Rhinolophus ferrumequinum: one gene and its partner. The protein of the gene in region 1 interacts with the protein of each later gene in a pairwise test. Links are inferred from orthologs where the notes say so. Each region holds a gene or a part of one and is shown on either strand. Other genes may lie near its edges.

Region 1 (7,216 bases):
AATTATGATATGTGCCTCCCAGGGACAAATCCTTTATGCTAAAACTTATTGTTAAGAATGGAAGGAGAACTGATGTTATCACATCATTGACTCACTTCCCAAGCAGGTTGTGGGAAGGAATAGAGCCACATAGGCAGAAGCTCTCCTTAGCCAGGGGAAGGTTGGGGCCTGTGCCCACCTCTATCTACCCCGTGAGTTCTCCTGGTGGTCCCCATGTGGTTCCACCTGGCGTGGGTTGTTCCTCCCGTGAGGAATCTTACCCATCATTGGCTGACCAACCATCTTTTGGGAGCCAAACAGAGAGACATGAAGTGTAAGCACAAAGGTGAAGCAAAGTCCCTGAAAGGAACAGTCTCACAGACTCTTTGTTCTTTAGGGATAGGCATGAGGGGACAGACAGTTAGGCTGCTGCATGACAACAGAAAATGAATCATGAAAGTAAACAGATTGAGAAGAAGAAATAAAACTGTCTTTGTTCACAGACGATATGATTATCTACACAAAACTTTTTTTTAAATCAACAAAGAAAACCTATAAGTGATTATAGTAAAGTTGTTAAGACACAACTTAATATTGTTTTCCTGTATACCAGAAATGAACAATTGTAATCTGAAATTAACAATACAATATCATTTACATTAGACCAAAAAAAAAAGACAAACTTAGGTATAAATCTTAACAAAATATGAACAAGATCTATATAAGGAAAACTACAAAACTGATGAAAACACCAAAGGAAATGGAAATAAAAAGAGATATTACATGTACAGTTGATCCTTGAACAACCCAGGGGTTAGAGGTTGATTCTCCCTATACACAACTGGTTGAATCTACGAATGCAAAACCTGGGGATAAAGAGGGCCACTATATATTTATTGAAAAAAATCCATGTATAAGTAGACCCATGCATTTCAAACCCATGTTGTTCAAAGGTCAAAAGTATACGGAAAATAAGGCTCAATATTGTCAAGGTACCAGTTCTTCCCAACTTGATCTGTAGATTTAATTCAATCCCAATCAAAACCCATGCAAGATTTTCTTTGTGGTTATTGATAAACTGTTTCTAAAGTTTATATGGAGAGGAAAAAGACCCAGAAAGTTGAAAGAGAAGAACAAAGTCATAAAATTGATACTGCCCACCTTTAAGACTACTATAAAATTCTAATGATCAAGATAGTGTGGTATTGATGGGGAAAAAAAAGATAAATAGGTCAAATGAACAGAATAGAAATCCCAGAAATAGACCCACACAAATAGAACCAAGTGATCTTTGACAAAGGAGCAATGATAATTCAACAGAGAAAGGATAGTCTTTTCATCAGAGTGTGCTGGAAAAACTGGACATCCACATTAAAAATAAATCTGGGCACAGACTATATACCTTTCACAAAAATTAACTTAAAATGGCTCATAGGTCTAAATGTAAAATCCAAAGTGATTAATGTCCTAGAATATAATACGAGTGAAAGTGTAGGTGACCTTGGGTTTGGTGATGATTTTAAAAATATGTCAAAAGCACAATCCACGAAAGAAAAATTGGGAAGTTGGACCTCATTAAAATTAAAAATTTCTGCTGTTAAAGACACTATTAAGAAAATGAAAAGACGAGCCACAGACTGGCAGCCAATATTTACAAAACAAATAAAGGATATGTATCCATAATATTCAAAGAAATCTTAAAACTCAGTAATAAGAACACAAGTAACACAATTATGGGCCAAACAATAAAAAATGTACGAAAGATCTGAACATACACCTCATCGATGAAGATATAAACATGGCAAATAAGCATATGAAAAATGCTCAACATTACATCATCAGGGAATTGCACATTAAAATGATATCCCATACAATAAAAAACATAAAATCTTGTTTCTGTTTCTCTGGAGAACCCCACTACTATACATGGCATTCTCAGCTACTTGTGTGTATAATTTTTATTCATTATTTTATTTCTAGAACTGACTGAAGTGCCCACCACATTGTGGGAGGCTGATGATGTTTCTGGACTTTAGAGTATTCACCATCTGACATTCTTTTGCTCCCTATAGTGAAAGAGGTGTTTGTTTTCTTTTCCCTCTCATCCTTATCCATATTTCTGCAAAAGCCTAACTTATATGAGAGATGAGGGCATTGACAGTATCACCTCAACATCCTTGAGAACAGGAAAGAAAGCTCTAATTGGTCTCTTTCATTTCTTGTAGACTGGCAACTGTTAGCAGGATGGAAAATGAAGAAATGTATATATATGTGAGTGAAGGTGGTGGTGGAAGGGAATTAGGAAAAAATTAGCTGTTGTGGTCTGAAAGGTCAGGAAAAGAGCATTCGAGTTACCTCAGAAGACAAATACCACATGATTTTACTTATATGTGAAATCTAAAAAACTAAGCAAATGAACAAACAAAAGAGAAATAGACTCATAGATACAGAGAACAATCTGATAGTTGCCCGATAGATGGGAGGTGAGTTAGAGGGCTGGGTGAAAAAGGTGAAGGGATTAAGAAGTACAAATTGACAGTGGGGGATATAAATACCGCAAAGGGAATATAGTCGATAATATTGTAATAACTATGTATGGTACTAGATTTATCAGGGGATCACTTTGTCAATTATATAAATGTCTAACCATCATGCTGTACACCTGAAACTAATATAATATTGAAAGTCAACTGTAAGTGAAAAAAATAAATAAATAGACTACAAAAAAAGAGTTACCTCGCGTAAGTTGGAGGAAGGACTAGGGAGAAAGGGCCTAATGTTTGACTGACTCATTGAATAAAAAAGGCAGAAGGAAAAAACAGGAAAGGAAACATGGGTTTTTTGTTTACCCTGGAGACTTTCACCACCCAGGTAATGAACTTTAAAAAACTAGGATTATGTATCTCTACCCAAAGAAAAATAGTATAACCACTTTCTCTAAATTTAATCTATAAATTCATTATTTGTTTTGACTTTTCTTAATGTTGTGGTCACCATTCCCTGTTATTTCTTGTTATTCCTTAGCTAAGAAAAGCAATTTTCCCTCCTTTCTTTTACGCATAATTTGAGTTGGTCCTAAACCTTTTCAAAAATTATTCTTCGTGATTGGAGTTCCCTTTCCATCTACTCTGACAAACTATACCACTCCTCTACTTTCTTATATATTTTTATGGTACTTTGTGTCCATAAATATCTTGACTGAATTAAAGACCTTAGCTGAATTAATGAAAAAAATGCATTTCAAAACTTATTCTATAACAAACCTCTTCAAAGCAATGCCCATTCATTGAAATATAATAAAGAGTTTGTGAATTTTATGACCTATTTTTTTCCAACTATAATACATCCAATTTTTTCATGTCTTCTTTATTTACTCCTCTTTTTCACACTTAGTTCCTTTCACTAACTTTAACTACTAACTTGGGAAACAATTACCCAATACCCAAAAGAGTATCTAGCACATAGTATGTGTGCAATAAATATTTGGTATCTGAAGGAATAAAATGAAATATTTGGTGTCTTAAGGAGTTAACGTGACATTTATAAAGGCAATACTGATCTGTGGAATATGAAAACCACATTTGAATTACTAGCAGCTAATTAATTATGCCAGTCCCTTCTTGTTTCAACACGGAGGTACACGAATTGAGAACTTAATTTTTTGTTTAATTATGGAAGGTTCAACATTTTGTCTTAAAGAATCCACATATTGAACGTAAGCATCATACGTCTTTCTAATGCTTAAGTAGAAGGGTTACCTCCTCCAACTTTAGGTCTGAAACATTCCTTGGCCAGGAGCTAAGTACTGCTTTTTGCTCACCCAATTGGAGTCCAACTTCGGTCCTTTTCATTCAGTCATCACTTGGCAATTCCCCTCTCATCTCTCCCTGACATCCCATTCTCATTCTCCTTCTCTCCTCAAACCACACACAAAACAGGAAACTACAATTCTGCCAGGTCCAGTGGAGACTCGGCAGCGCTCAAGTTGAGGCCACAAGACGCGTTTTTAACCACGTGGTTTTCTTGCTCTAACCATACGAAGGTCCACACAATACTTTGCTCTCGCAGATCGCGCCCGTCGTCGGGGACCCCACAATCGTAGCACTCCGCTGGAGCCACCGCGGAAGACTAGCAAGTCTTGTGAAGACTTTCTAAAGTCGCTCCTTCGCCCAGAGACCCCGCCCCGCGGCCCTACCAGCGGGACACGCGCATGCCCGGTTCGCGCCGCCTGCCTCTGCCTCGGGCGCCGGTCCCGCCTGCGTCCCCCGTGGGCCCTCACGCGCGGCGTGCGGCTGGCTCACCACGCCGCCACGCCCCTCCCGCTTGTTTGCGGGCGCGCGCAGCTCCTGGTGCGGGGGAGCTCGGGGACGGGCCGAGCTGGCGGAGATTGGCTGACGCGGTGGCTGCGCATTGGGCCTGAGAAACTCTGGGCGAGCGGGCAGAGTCGGCTCTGGGGCGGTGTTGGGCGCCTCTCAGGTAAACGGGTAGCCTGGGAGGCTTGGGAGACCCGAGAAAGGAGGGGTGGGCTTGGACCAGCCCTGGAAATTCCGGCTGCAGCCCCCTTGGAGAAGGTGAAGGGGCCCCGCGGATCTGCGCCCAGTGAATGTTGGCCCCTGCAGCTGGGAGTGATGAGGCTCCCGGGAAGGTCAGCGTCGTGGGGTCCACAGGTCCTCTTTCTGAGTATGATTTCGGCATCTTCCTCGGTTTCCTATTACAAGAGTTCAGCAGCTGAGGGTTTATTCAGGGTATAGGTTTTTGTTTGTTTTCTCCTTAAGTGGCGGTGAGTTAGAGGGTACAGGTCCTGGTTCTACCTGATTGACTCTGTGCCCTTGAGAGTCACCTAATCGGTTTGTATTTCAGGTCTCACACTTGTAAGTTTCTGCAAAGAGTGCGATACTTCTTTAGGCACCGTGCTGTAGAAAGATACTGTTAGAATATTTTTGGTCTCTGGGCCCAAATTTCTCTAATTGGAAGATGAAACCACCCACCAATATTTGTGAAGTACTTTAAACTCCATGGATGGAAGGAACTGGATAAACACAAGATAGCGTTATTAGTCGGGATGGTAGAAAGAAAAACTTGCCACAAGAACAGGCTTTTTGAAAAGTTCCTTTGAGCATTTTATGCAGATTAAATCACAGTGGTAGTAAACAAAGGTAAGACAAAACAAAGGGCCAAACAAAACTACATTTCAAGGAGGTTTTTTTTTCCTTCCTCAGATAATTTTATAATAACATACTGTCACAAGGTGTCGGCTTTTCAGAGTTTCTCCTAGGGATCTAGTGTGGAACTAACTTAAAATGACTGTTATATATTCATTTGGGTATCCTATGCAATAGTATACCAAGAAAATTAATTAAAACAAAGCTGACTTCTATATTAGGTAACAGGAATTAAGGTATCTCATTGGGAGAGGAAATGATAGCAAATCAGAAAAGTGAACGGAGAAGTATACAATTTTACCTCAGAGGAACAGAGTTTATAGGTATCTTTTTAGTGTGTTAATTGTTAAAGGATAATAGACCTACAGAAAAGTGCATGAATGATTAAGTGTACAGCTCATTGAATTTTCACAAATTATATCTAATGCCTAGACAACAAAGAGCATTACTTGCATTCTAGAAGCCTCACTCTGTGCCTCCGTTCCAAAGGTAATCATTATCTCGATTTTTAATTTCATTTATGAATTTACCGATCAAGTTTGTATAAATGGAATCATACACTATATAGTCCTTTGTGTCTCACTTTTGCTTACTATTGTGTTTGTGACATTTATACAAGTTGTATAGCAGTAGTTTTTTGTTTTTGTTTTTTAAGGAGGGCACAGCTTCACAGTGGCCCATACAGGGATCAAACCAGCAACCTTGATGCTGCCAGCACCATGCTCTAATCAGCTGAACTAATAGGCCACCCAGTTTGTTTGTTCTTATGCTGTATAGTAGTCCATCCAGTTTTTGGCTATTAACAATAGGGCTTCTATGAACATTTTTATAATTACTTTGGTGAACATATGTATACATTTCTGTTGGAAATATATATACCTACTGATGAAATGGCTATATTACGGGATATGCAGGTATGTAGTTCTGGAATAACTACCAAAAGCTTTTCAAATTAGTTTTGTCAGTTAACACTCCTTTTAGCAGTGTTTCAGAATTCTGGCTTCTCCAAATGCTTGCAATACTTAGTATTATCTTTTTTTATTTTAGCCATTTTGGTGGTTAAATAGTAATATCACATTGGGTTTTTCGCAGATTTCCCTAATGACTAATAATATTTAGCACCTCTTCATGTATTTATTGACCATTTGGATATCCTCTATTGTAGGGGTCATCAAATTTTTCATAAAGGGCCTGATAGTAAATATAGAAGTATAGGTAGTCCTTGCTTTGTAGTCTGGGTTTCAGTTAAAGCAGTACTGTGTGAAGCTAGGACTGCCTGTATTTTAGGATTTTCAGGCCATATACAGTCTCTGTTGTATTTCCTTCCTTTCCTTCCCTCCTCCTTTCATTCTTTTTCCTTCTCTTTCTTGCTTGCTTTCTCTTTTTCTATTTCTTTCCCTGCCTACTTTTTCTTCCTTTCCTTTCTTTTTCCCTCCTTCCCTCCCTTCTTCCCTTCATTCCTTCTTCCTTTTTTGCTGGCTTGCTTGTTTGCCTGCCTGCCATCCTTCCTGCTCTCCCTCTTTCCCTCCCTCGTTTCTTGTTTCATAGTTTACTAACCGCTGCTATGTGGAAAAAAGACTTCAAAAATGACTATTCAATCTTTCCATTGGTGGTGAAATCATTAACTGAGATGGGCTATATTAGAAAAGTGTAAGTACGTAATATCAAGTAATGTATACTGTAGTGTTTTGGGGTTAAATTTCAAATTCCTACACATACTTTATTTGCTTTTTTACTAGTTTTACCTCAAAGACTAATTAGAGACTTATTTGAGACTTTGCTAAACTGTTATTGCTCCTACTTTCTCTCATGCCTTTAAAGCTGCAGAACAAAAGAGTTAAGAAGTGAGAAAAGAAAGGCGATGCAACCCTTCTTTGATACTGTGTAAAAGGCTAGGGAAGGGATGAATGTCCAGACAGTTCTGGACACTGAGTAAAAAAGTATAAATACATAAAATACTATTTGCAGTACTTTAAGGTGGATATTGTCTTTTGAGCTGTTTCATCTTTGGATGGCTTGATTGAAATTTCTATCTAGCTGATTGAGTATACTCATGATGTGGGAAGTAACAGCCA
Region 2 (7,707 bases), on another chromosome or scaffold:
ACTGAGCCTACAACTGGTTCCAGGTTTGTCCTGCAGCGCCCTCTCCTGGAGGAAGACAGCATCACCTCCCAGGACCTGATTCCCAAATCTCAGGATCTTCCTTGGGTCAAAGTAAAGTTTTTCCAAGCCAGAGAAAATGTGGTTAACTTTTCCTCTGTGGTATGGCAACCAGAAGAGAACTTCCAAAATACCTGTTGCTTATTTTGGAAACCCCTTTCCAAATCGAGACCTCGTATCCAGACAATAGCAGTAGTCTCCTCACCTCCCTGTCCCCAGTCTCTCCCTTTCTCACACTGTCCTGCACACTGCTGCCCAAGCGACATCTCCAAAATGTCAGGCCAAGAGCCCTCCTTACCTACACCCCTCCCTCATCACTCCCAGATTCACCCAACCTGGTCTCCTGGTGGCCTGCTTCCGCCATGCTAAGTGGCCCTCCTGCATGGAGCTGCCATCTTCCACACTAGCAAGGCTTCGTGCCTGGCATATCCTCTGCCTGGAAGGCCACCCAGCTCTCCTTCAGGAGTCAGCTAGAGGCCTGCCTCTTCACTGCTTCCCTAGACATAGTGACAAGTCACCTCCGCCACCTGTGGTTCCACAGTCTTGCTCCTCAGGTCTTCCATGGCACATGTCTCTGCACCATGCTGCTTCGGCATTTTTCCCTTAGAGTGAGCGTCTAGGAGCAGTAGTGGTGACTTGTTCCTTTGTGTCGGGAAATGTAGCCTCGTTCTTCTATAGTTACTGAGTGTGTCCTTTGTCACCTGTGGAAGGTAAGGACAGAGCTTCCTTATCAGTGCTGGCCTGGTCCACACCTCTAGCCCTGGAGACCACACAGAGAAAGCAGATGCTCAGCCTTTTTGGGTCAGGTCTTCACCAGAGCCCCCAGATCCACAGATCTGCAGGGCTCAGGAAGGGGCGGGGCCTCCCTGGCGCCCAGGGTGTGGTCTCATACAAGGCCACTTCTCTCCAGGCCTTTGCTTCCTCAGCCATAAAAAGAGGAGGTCAAGCTCAGTAATCTTGAAGGACCCTCTATCTCTGAAAAATCCCTGAGAATCCATGCTCATCCCTGTGGACAATATTCAGTCTGCATGGTCTCTGTGGACAGTATTTCCTGGGGTGGTCAAATCACTAACCAGGGAAAAGTGTCAACAGGAAGAAGAAATATGTCCAGAACGCACAGCTTGCCCTGTGGCCTTGCCAAGGGGCTGGTGAGCATCCAAGCGACCCCTAAAGGAGGGAGCATCCCGTGCTGATGCCCGTTTTCTCTCTTCCAATGACCTTGCCAGGCCATTATTCCAGGTCCCACACATGGCTCTGGACGTTGGATGGCCTCCGCTTTTCAGATCCTGACCTATCCCTCTGTAGCTTCCTCAGGTCCCCACCTGGTCTCCTTATCTTTTTATGCTTTTTATGGGGGTCCTCTGCTAGTGGATGTGATGCAATGACACGGGCCCTTGGGGAGTTCAGTCTCATCCTGAAGACAGCTGTGACCCACAAGGACAGTAGTATGTGGCTACTTTAATGCAGGGCAACACTGGGAGTTGCCCAGCTCCGCAGGAAGCAAGGTGCCCTGAATCTTCACGGGTGCATGTGCACTAGCCAAGTGGAGGGGTGAGGGAATAAAGGCATTTTAGACAGGGAAGCCCCATGTGCAGAGACTGAAGGTAAGAAAAGGTGTGGCTGGTCAGGGAATGATAGGAAACCACTGAAAAGTTACAAGCAGCTGGGCTTAGATGAGAGTACTAGACGGGGAGCAACACCATCCGGGGTTTGGATGTGTGTGTCGTAGGTTCACCAGCCTTGATGATTGATTAGCTTGTAGGAGTCAACAAGCAAAGAACAGGATGGGGTCTGGGGTGACACCAGGATTTTGGCTTGAATGATTGCGCAGATGAGATACAGGAGGAAAAGCAGGTTGAGAGGAGGAGGAATTATTCGTTTAATTTGAAATTCTGTTTTTAAGGTGTCTGAGGGACATGCAGTAGGACGAGGAGACAGCAGGGTATTAGGGTTTCCAAATGGCCGGCACTGGCCACCTCTTCCAGAGACCCCTGAGGATGAGAAGCAGCAGTTATCTGGTGGCTTGGCCTCAGGGCTCCAGGGAGACCATTCACCACCACCACCACTCTCTGCCTGCCAGGAAATAGGCACCAGGGGCCACTCTGGGGGCAAAGTGTGGTCCAGCTGTGATCTAACAATAAGTGGAAAGCATCCCAAAGCTTCCACTCTTGGGCAGGCGAATGGACTCTGCCACCTCAGAGGGGAGAATCCCAAGTGTTGGTGCCCTGAAGGTCAGACCGAATGCAGACCCCTTCCCAGGAGACAGCAAGGCCATGCACCTGCTTCCCATGACCTGCCAGTTCCTTTCCTTTCTTTGCCCCAAGTTCCTCATCACCTCCCTCTCCATCCCCACCATTATCCTGTCCGAACTTCAGGTTCATCGGAGACTTGAAATGCACAGAACAAGTCCCTACCCCCACAGATTGATTCAGTTAGGTCTGAGGCAGTACCCAGGAATCTACATTTTTGTCGAGTTCCTAGGCAATCCAAATGACCCGTCAAGTTTCAAACCCTGCACTGGGGAATCCTCCACCCTCCTTCCCAGCCTCTCCCTCTTCAGGCACCTTATTTGGGGAGTCAAAGTCTGAGAAAAGGAAAAACATTTATTTTCAGCAAGTCCAAGGTGCCAAGTAGGGGCAGGGGCTATATTCCCCCCTCCTCCCGAGGGCTTGAGCCCATAGGCTGCTGCTCTGGTTCAGGCTTGGGAGGAAGGGAGCCACCAGGGGGTAGGACAGTCATTTGTACTGAGGAGAAAGTGGGGGTACAAGTGGGGCTGCACAGACACTTAGCATCTTGTCGATGTCCACCTGAGTTGACTTATCCACCTCAGCCTTGGGGCTGCTGCTAACCCCCAAGCTGGGCAAACCCCCAGGCTCCTCTCCAGCCTCCTCCCCCAGGGGAACCATAGCATGGATAGGGGGCACGGACATAGTGGGGCAGGGCACAGTGAGGCCTGAGCCAAGCTCACCTGCCACAGGCAGCAAGGCTGGCAGTTGCTCCACACCTGCCTCCTCGGGGACCAGGGTCAGCTCCCACTCAGGTTCCACCTCGGCTTCAGCCTCCCTGTCCCCCTCCCCTGCCTGGTTCAGCTCAGGATTGCAATAGTTGATGTACTGGTACAGAGGCCGTAGGCGCTGGACCTTTCCTGCAAGGATCCAGGGCAGAACGGGGGCTGGAGTACCAAGCTGTGCCATGTCAGGAGTCCAGCAGGCAGGGGAAAAAAGGAAGGCCCAGGGACTGCTACTCACGCTCTAGCCCCAAGGTCTCTGAGGGTGCAGATACTATGCTGGCCACAGCTGGGAGCACTGGGGCCCCCGGACTCTTGCGCTTCTTGGCTTTTTTGTGCTGTTTGGCAGTCGGTGAGGGCTCACTCCGACCACCCTCCGGGTCCTCCCTCTGTTGTGGCGGCCCCTGTGGCAGCTCAGCTTCAGCCCTAGGATGGGCTTGGTGGCTAGGCCCTGGGAGGCTGGGGGACAGGAGGCTTGAGGAGGCCGCCTCCATTCCAGCCTTGGCTCCTGAGTCCTGAGCCTGCGGAATAGCCCTGCCTCCCCACACCCTGGGCCCAGATTCGTGTTCCTTTCCTGGTCAGTGAGGCCCCAGCCTGGACCAGAGCTGAGAGCTCATGTGAGCTCAGACCCTGCAAGGCCTTGAGACTCTGAATGCTCCCTACACCAGGACTCTTGAGGGACAGAAGGAGTGAGGAGTGATGGTGGTGGCAGAGAATAAAGATGCACACACTGCAGGACTGCAGGATTTAGGAATCCTACCGGGGTGTGAGCCTCCCAACCCCCCTCAGCCCTGCAGCTTCTTCCCTCTGAAAGACCCCTCACTTGACTGGCTTCCTCTTCAGACCATGACTGGACCTCACAATGGAGGCCGTAGGCCTGGGGCTTCTCTCCTCTAGTGCCTCCACCTCTGGCTTGAGCCTCTCTTCCTCCAGCTTGAATGGTTCCTCCTGGAGCTCTGGCTCTGAGACTGGTCCTGTTGGACATTTGTCTTCACCGAGGGTCCCACTGGCCTCATGGACTGGCGCCAAGCACTGGTTTCCCATCACTGGACACTAGAGGTGACACACAGGTAACTGGTCACCATGGCCAGTCAAATGATACAGGGATCAGTCATTAAACACCCAACATTAGACACCAAACGTGAATAAAGGGCACCAGCCCATGGCCCTGCCCGCCTATGGAGCCTGTCCTGGCCGTTAGGGGGTCGACGCACAGAGTTTGGCCTCCTAGAGCGCCACGACCAAGAGTTTGAAGGCTAGACAACCTGTAGGTCACCTCAGAGCTCTGAGCACCGCCACCGGGCGCCTCCGCAAGCTGTACGGGCCCCTCAGTCGTCCCCTTTTGGGCCCCTGGGCGCCTCTCGGCCCCTGCCGAGGCCATAGCTGCGCAGAGTCAGCGCATCCTCGACGGCTGCTGATGGGAAGAGGTGGACGGGCCCCGAGGGGCCGGACAGGTTCACCCTTCGCTGACGCGGGAGACCGACCGGGAGGCGAGAGCCGGGGTGGGAAGGGCGACTGGAGACTACTCTAGCCCCTACCCTCAGCTGGAACTACAAACCCCAGGAACCTTTGCGTCGGGGTATTAGCCCCTGACCTCAGACGGAAACCATTGTTGCCTGGCAACAGCAAACTCGTCGGGTGGCAGCTGCGGGCAGTCTAAAGCTGTTCTGGTGAGCCCCCAGCCCGGGTGTTGAGAGGGAGGGGCCACGACCGGGGCAGGGAAGTGGGCTAGGAGCGGAGGCGGCTAGTTGCAGGCCGGGGACCGGGAATGGAGGCAACGCCGGGGTCAAGGTCCGGGTCCAGAGAGGAGGTCGGGGGCCCGAGATGTTTAGCCCGGCAGGCCTCGGTGCAACATTGCAGGGCGACGGCGGCGGCATGTGCGAGGGCCTGTCCCGCATCTCGGGGCCCATCCCCCCAGACCCTACGCTTTGTCCTGACTACTACCGACGGCCGGCCTCGGGTGAGTAGAGGGTGCCGCGGCTGAGCGAGGCCCGAGCGAACCTCGGATCTCTCTCCACCACTGAACGCGGCACTCTGATTTGTCCGGCCCCTCAGCCCAAGGGCGCCTTGAGGGAAACACGCCGAAGCTGGACCTGCTGACCTCGGACGCGGACCTGGACGTCACCCCGCCCCGCGGCCCCCGCATCCGTCCTGGAGCTGTAGAGATTCTGGAGCGTGGTCGGCGCGGCGTGGGGGCCATGCTGCTGCAACTTGGGGGTATCTCCCTAGGCCCAGAGGCCTCTCCCAAGAGTAAGTTCTGGGCAGAAGGGGCAGCAAGGCAAGTCGAGGTTAAAAAGAGATCAAAAGCTGCTCCTCCGGCCCTGACCACGGCTCAGGCTTTGCCTTTCTGAATGTGTTTCCCCAACTATAAAGGGAGGGGAAAATGCACTACCTCCTTACAGGAGAGGACTGAATGAGGTAGTCCCCAGGAAACCGTAGATCAGCTTTATGAATTCATTCATCAGTGAAACTTGTTGAGCGCTTGCTCTGTGCCAGGCCCAACAGGTGCTAGGAAAACAATAAGGTTTAAGACAAGCACAGGCCATCACGGAGTCCAGGTGGGAGACAATGAACAAGTGAAGGGATGATTATATATAAGATGATTAATGGTGTACCTCACAATAAAAATGTATAAAATAATCAAGGATAGAAGATAATTACCACGTCAGGAAGGAAACAAGGTGGTAAGATGGAGTATCTGTATAGGATCTAACTTAGATGGAGAAGTCAGGGAGATCTTTCTGTAGGAGGCAAGGTGTGGGCCTGTGTGTGAACTTGTATAAGTTGGGTTTCATGGGCTGTATGCAGGGCGAGTCTGGCAACATCTTTTCCCCAGGGAAGGAACCTAAAGACCATGAGAAGGAGAATCTGAGACGTATCAAGGAAATCCAGAAGCGCTTCCGCGAGCAGGAGCGCAGCCGGGAACAGGGCCAGTCCAGGCCCCTGAAGGCTCTGTGGCGCTCGCCCAAGTATGACAAAGTGGAATCCCGGGTCAAGGCCCAGCTGCAGGTACCTGCCTCAGGGAGCCAGAAGTATTGTCCATCTTGTTGGCCAAGAGGCAGTTATACCCTGATCTGAGTTATGGGGAGGGAGGAAAATCACAGGGGACTAAGGTAACAGGAGACTTAAGAGAGAACTGGTTCTGCAGCAAGGTGGCTCTGGGGATCCTCAGAAGTGGTGATGGCTGGGTGAGCCTGAGGGGCAAGTAGGAATTAGGCAAGGGGAGAATGGAAAAGAACATTCCGTAAAGATGAAACCTCACAGATAGAAGTCCTAAGACTAGAGGCAGTGTGGGCAGTGGGGGTGCTGTGTACAGTTTACTGTGAGGAGAGAAGAGCACAGAGTTAGGCTAAGAAGTCAGCTGGACCCACGTCATAAAGGGCCACATAACCCCCTTTTCAACTTTTTTTTTCGAAGGTCAGGGGCAGGGGTATGGTGGTGAGATTCTGTCTTGGGTAGATAGTGGCACCATTTCTCCATACAGAGGTCTCAGAAGGAGGAACAGGATTGAGAGTAAAGAATAAGGTCATATGTGGATGTGTTGAAGCTGAAGCATTTGTGGGACTCCCAGGGGGTGCGAGTGTGTCCAAGAACCAGATGGAGAGTCAGGTCTGGATCTCAGGAGTGAGAATCAGGAGTTATTGAGGATCAGACTAAGGATGATGAGACCAGGGAACTGACCCGGATTTGAGGGCTTGGAGGCCAGCTGTTAATGACCTTGGGGACAGAGCCAAGAAGCTTGACTAGGAAGGAGAGAAAAAGAGAATGGTAGCTGGAGCCAGGATTAAGGTAGGATGGACGGTTTGTTGTTTTCTTAAGGATGTGAGAGGTACACATGTTTATATGATAATCATGATGAGTGCTCCTTCAAAAAGGAGGAGGCCATAGCCCTAGGGATAGAGGCTCGGTCTTGAGACCTTGACCGCAGCCTGACTGATCCCTCTTCTATGCTCTGCCCTCCAGGAGCCCAGCCCTGCCTCTGGAACAGAGCCTGCCCACTTCCTGCGGGCGCACTCCCGCTGCGGCCCTGGGCTCCCACCACCCCGTGTCCCCAGTCCCCAGCTAACCCCACTAGGTCCCAATGCCAAGGTGAGAGAATGTGTGGGGGCTGGAAGGTGGGGCGGGGGTTCAGGGACACAACACAGTGCTGTCTGTCCACATGCTGCCATGTCCTGCAGGGGCAAGGCCTGGGTGTGGACTTCATTAGCCACAATGCCCGCACTGCCAAGAGGGCCCCCCGGCGGCATTCCCGCTCGCTGCAAGTCCTGACACAGGTGCTGGAGCAGCAACAGCAAGCCCAGGAGCACTACAATGCCACACAGAAGGGCCACGTGCCCCACTAGTAGGTCCCACTGCCGAACACCCAGGGTGAGGGGTGCCTGTGGCAGGTGGGAGCCAACATCTGCCCTGGAATCATCAACCCTGAGCCTGTGCATCCACAGCTTGTTGGAGCGCCGGGATCTGTGGCGGCAGGAGGCTGAGGCCCGCAAACATAGCCAGCCAGACCCTACCATGCCCCCTGGCCACACTCGCATGCCTGAGAACCAGCGGCTGGAAACACTGAGCAATCTGCTGCAGAGTGAGTATTTGAGCTGGATGGGGAACTCACTGGGGACCAGGTACCCCTGCCCAACACTAACCAC

Evidence for each region.
Region 2: the proteins of MIPOL1 (region 1) and ENKD1 interact in binary tests that used the Homo sapiens proteins (3 or more experiments, as listed by UniProt). The two-hybrid records come from large-scale screens. The link is inferred for Rhinolophus ferrumequinum from reciprocal best matches to the Homo sapiens genes MIPOL1 and ENKD1.

What each region holds. Positions count from the first base shown.
Region 1 is NC_046289.1:85,022,437-85,029,652, forward strand, and holds the start of MIPOL1 (mirror-image polydactyly gene 1 protein), read left to right. Parts: upstream 1-4,210; 5' UTR 4,211-4,455; intron 4,456-7,216.
Region 2 is NC_046298.1:17,287,682-17,295,388, reverse strand, and holds the start of ENKD1 (enkurin domain-containing protein 1), read left to right. Parts: upstream 1-4,704; 5' UTR 4,705-4,888; coding exon 4,889-5,024; intron 5,025-5,119; coding exon 5,120-5,314; intron 5,315-5,900; coding exon 5,901-6,073; intron 6,074-7,027; coding exon 7,028-7,153; intron 7,154-7,242; coding exon 7,243-7,406; intron 7,407-7,506; coding exon 7,507-7,643; intron 7,644-7,707. Other genes in the region: C15H16orf86 (uncharacterized protein C16orf86 homolog), read right to left, coding at 2,793-3,202, 3,306-3,538, 3,888-4,117, 4,341-4,445. UniProt on the Homo sapiens protein: Microtubule-binding protein which regulates microtubule organization and stability. Promotes the stability of astral microtubules and facilitates the proper orientation of the mitotic spindle.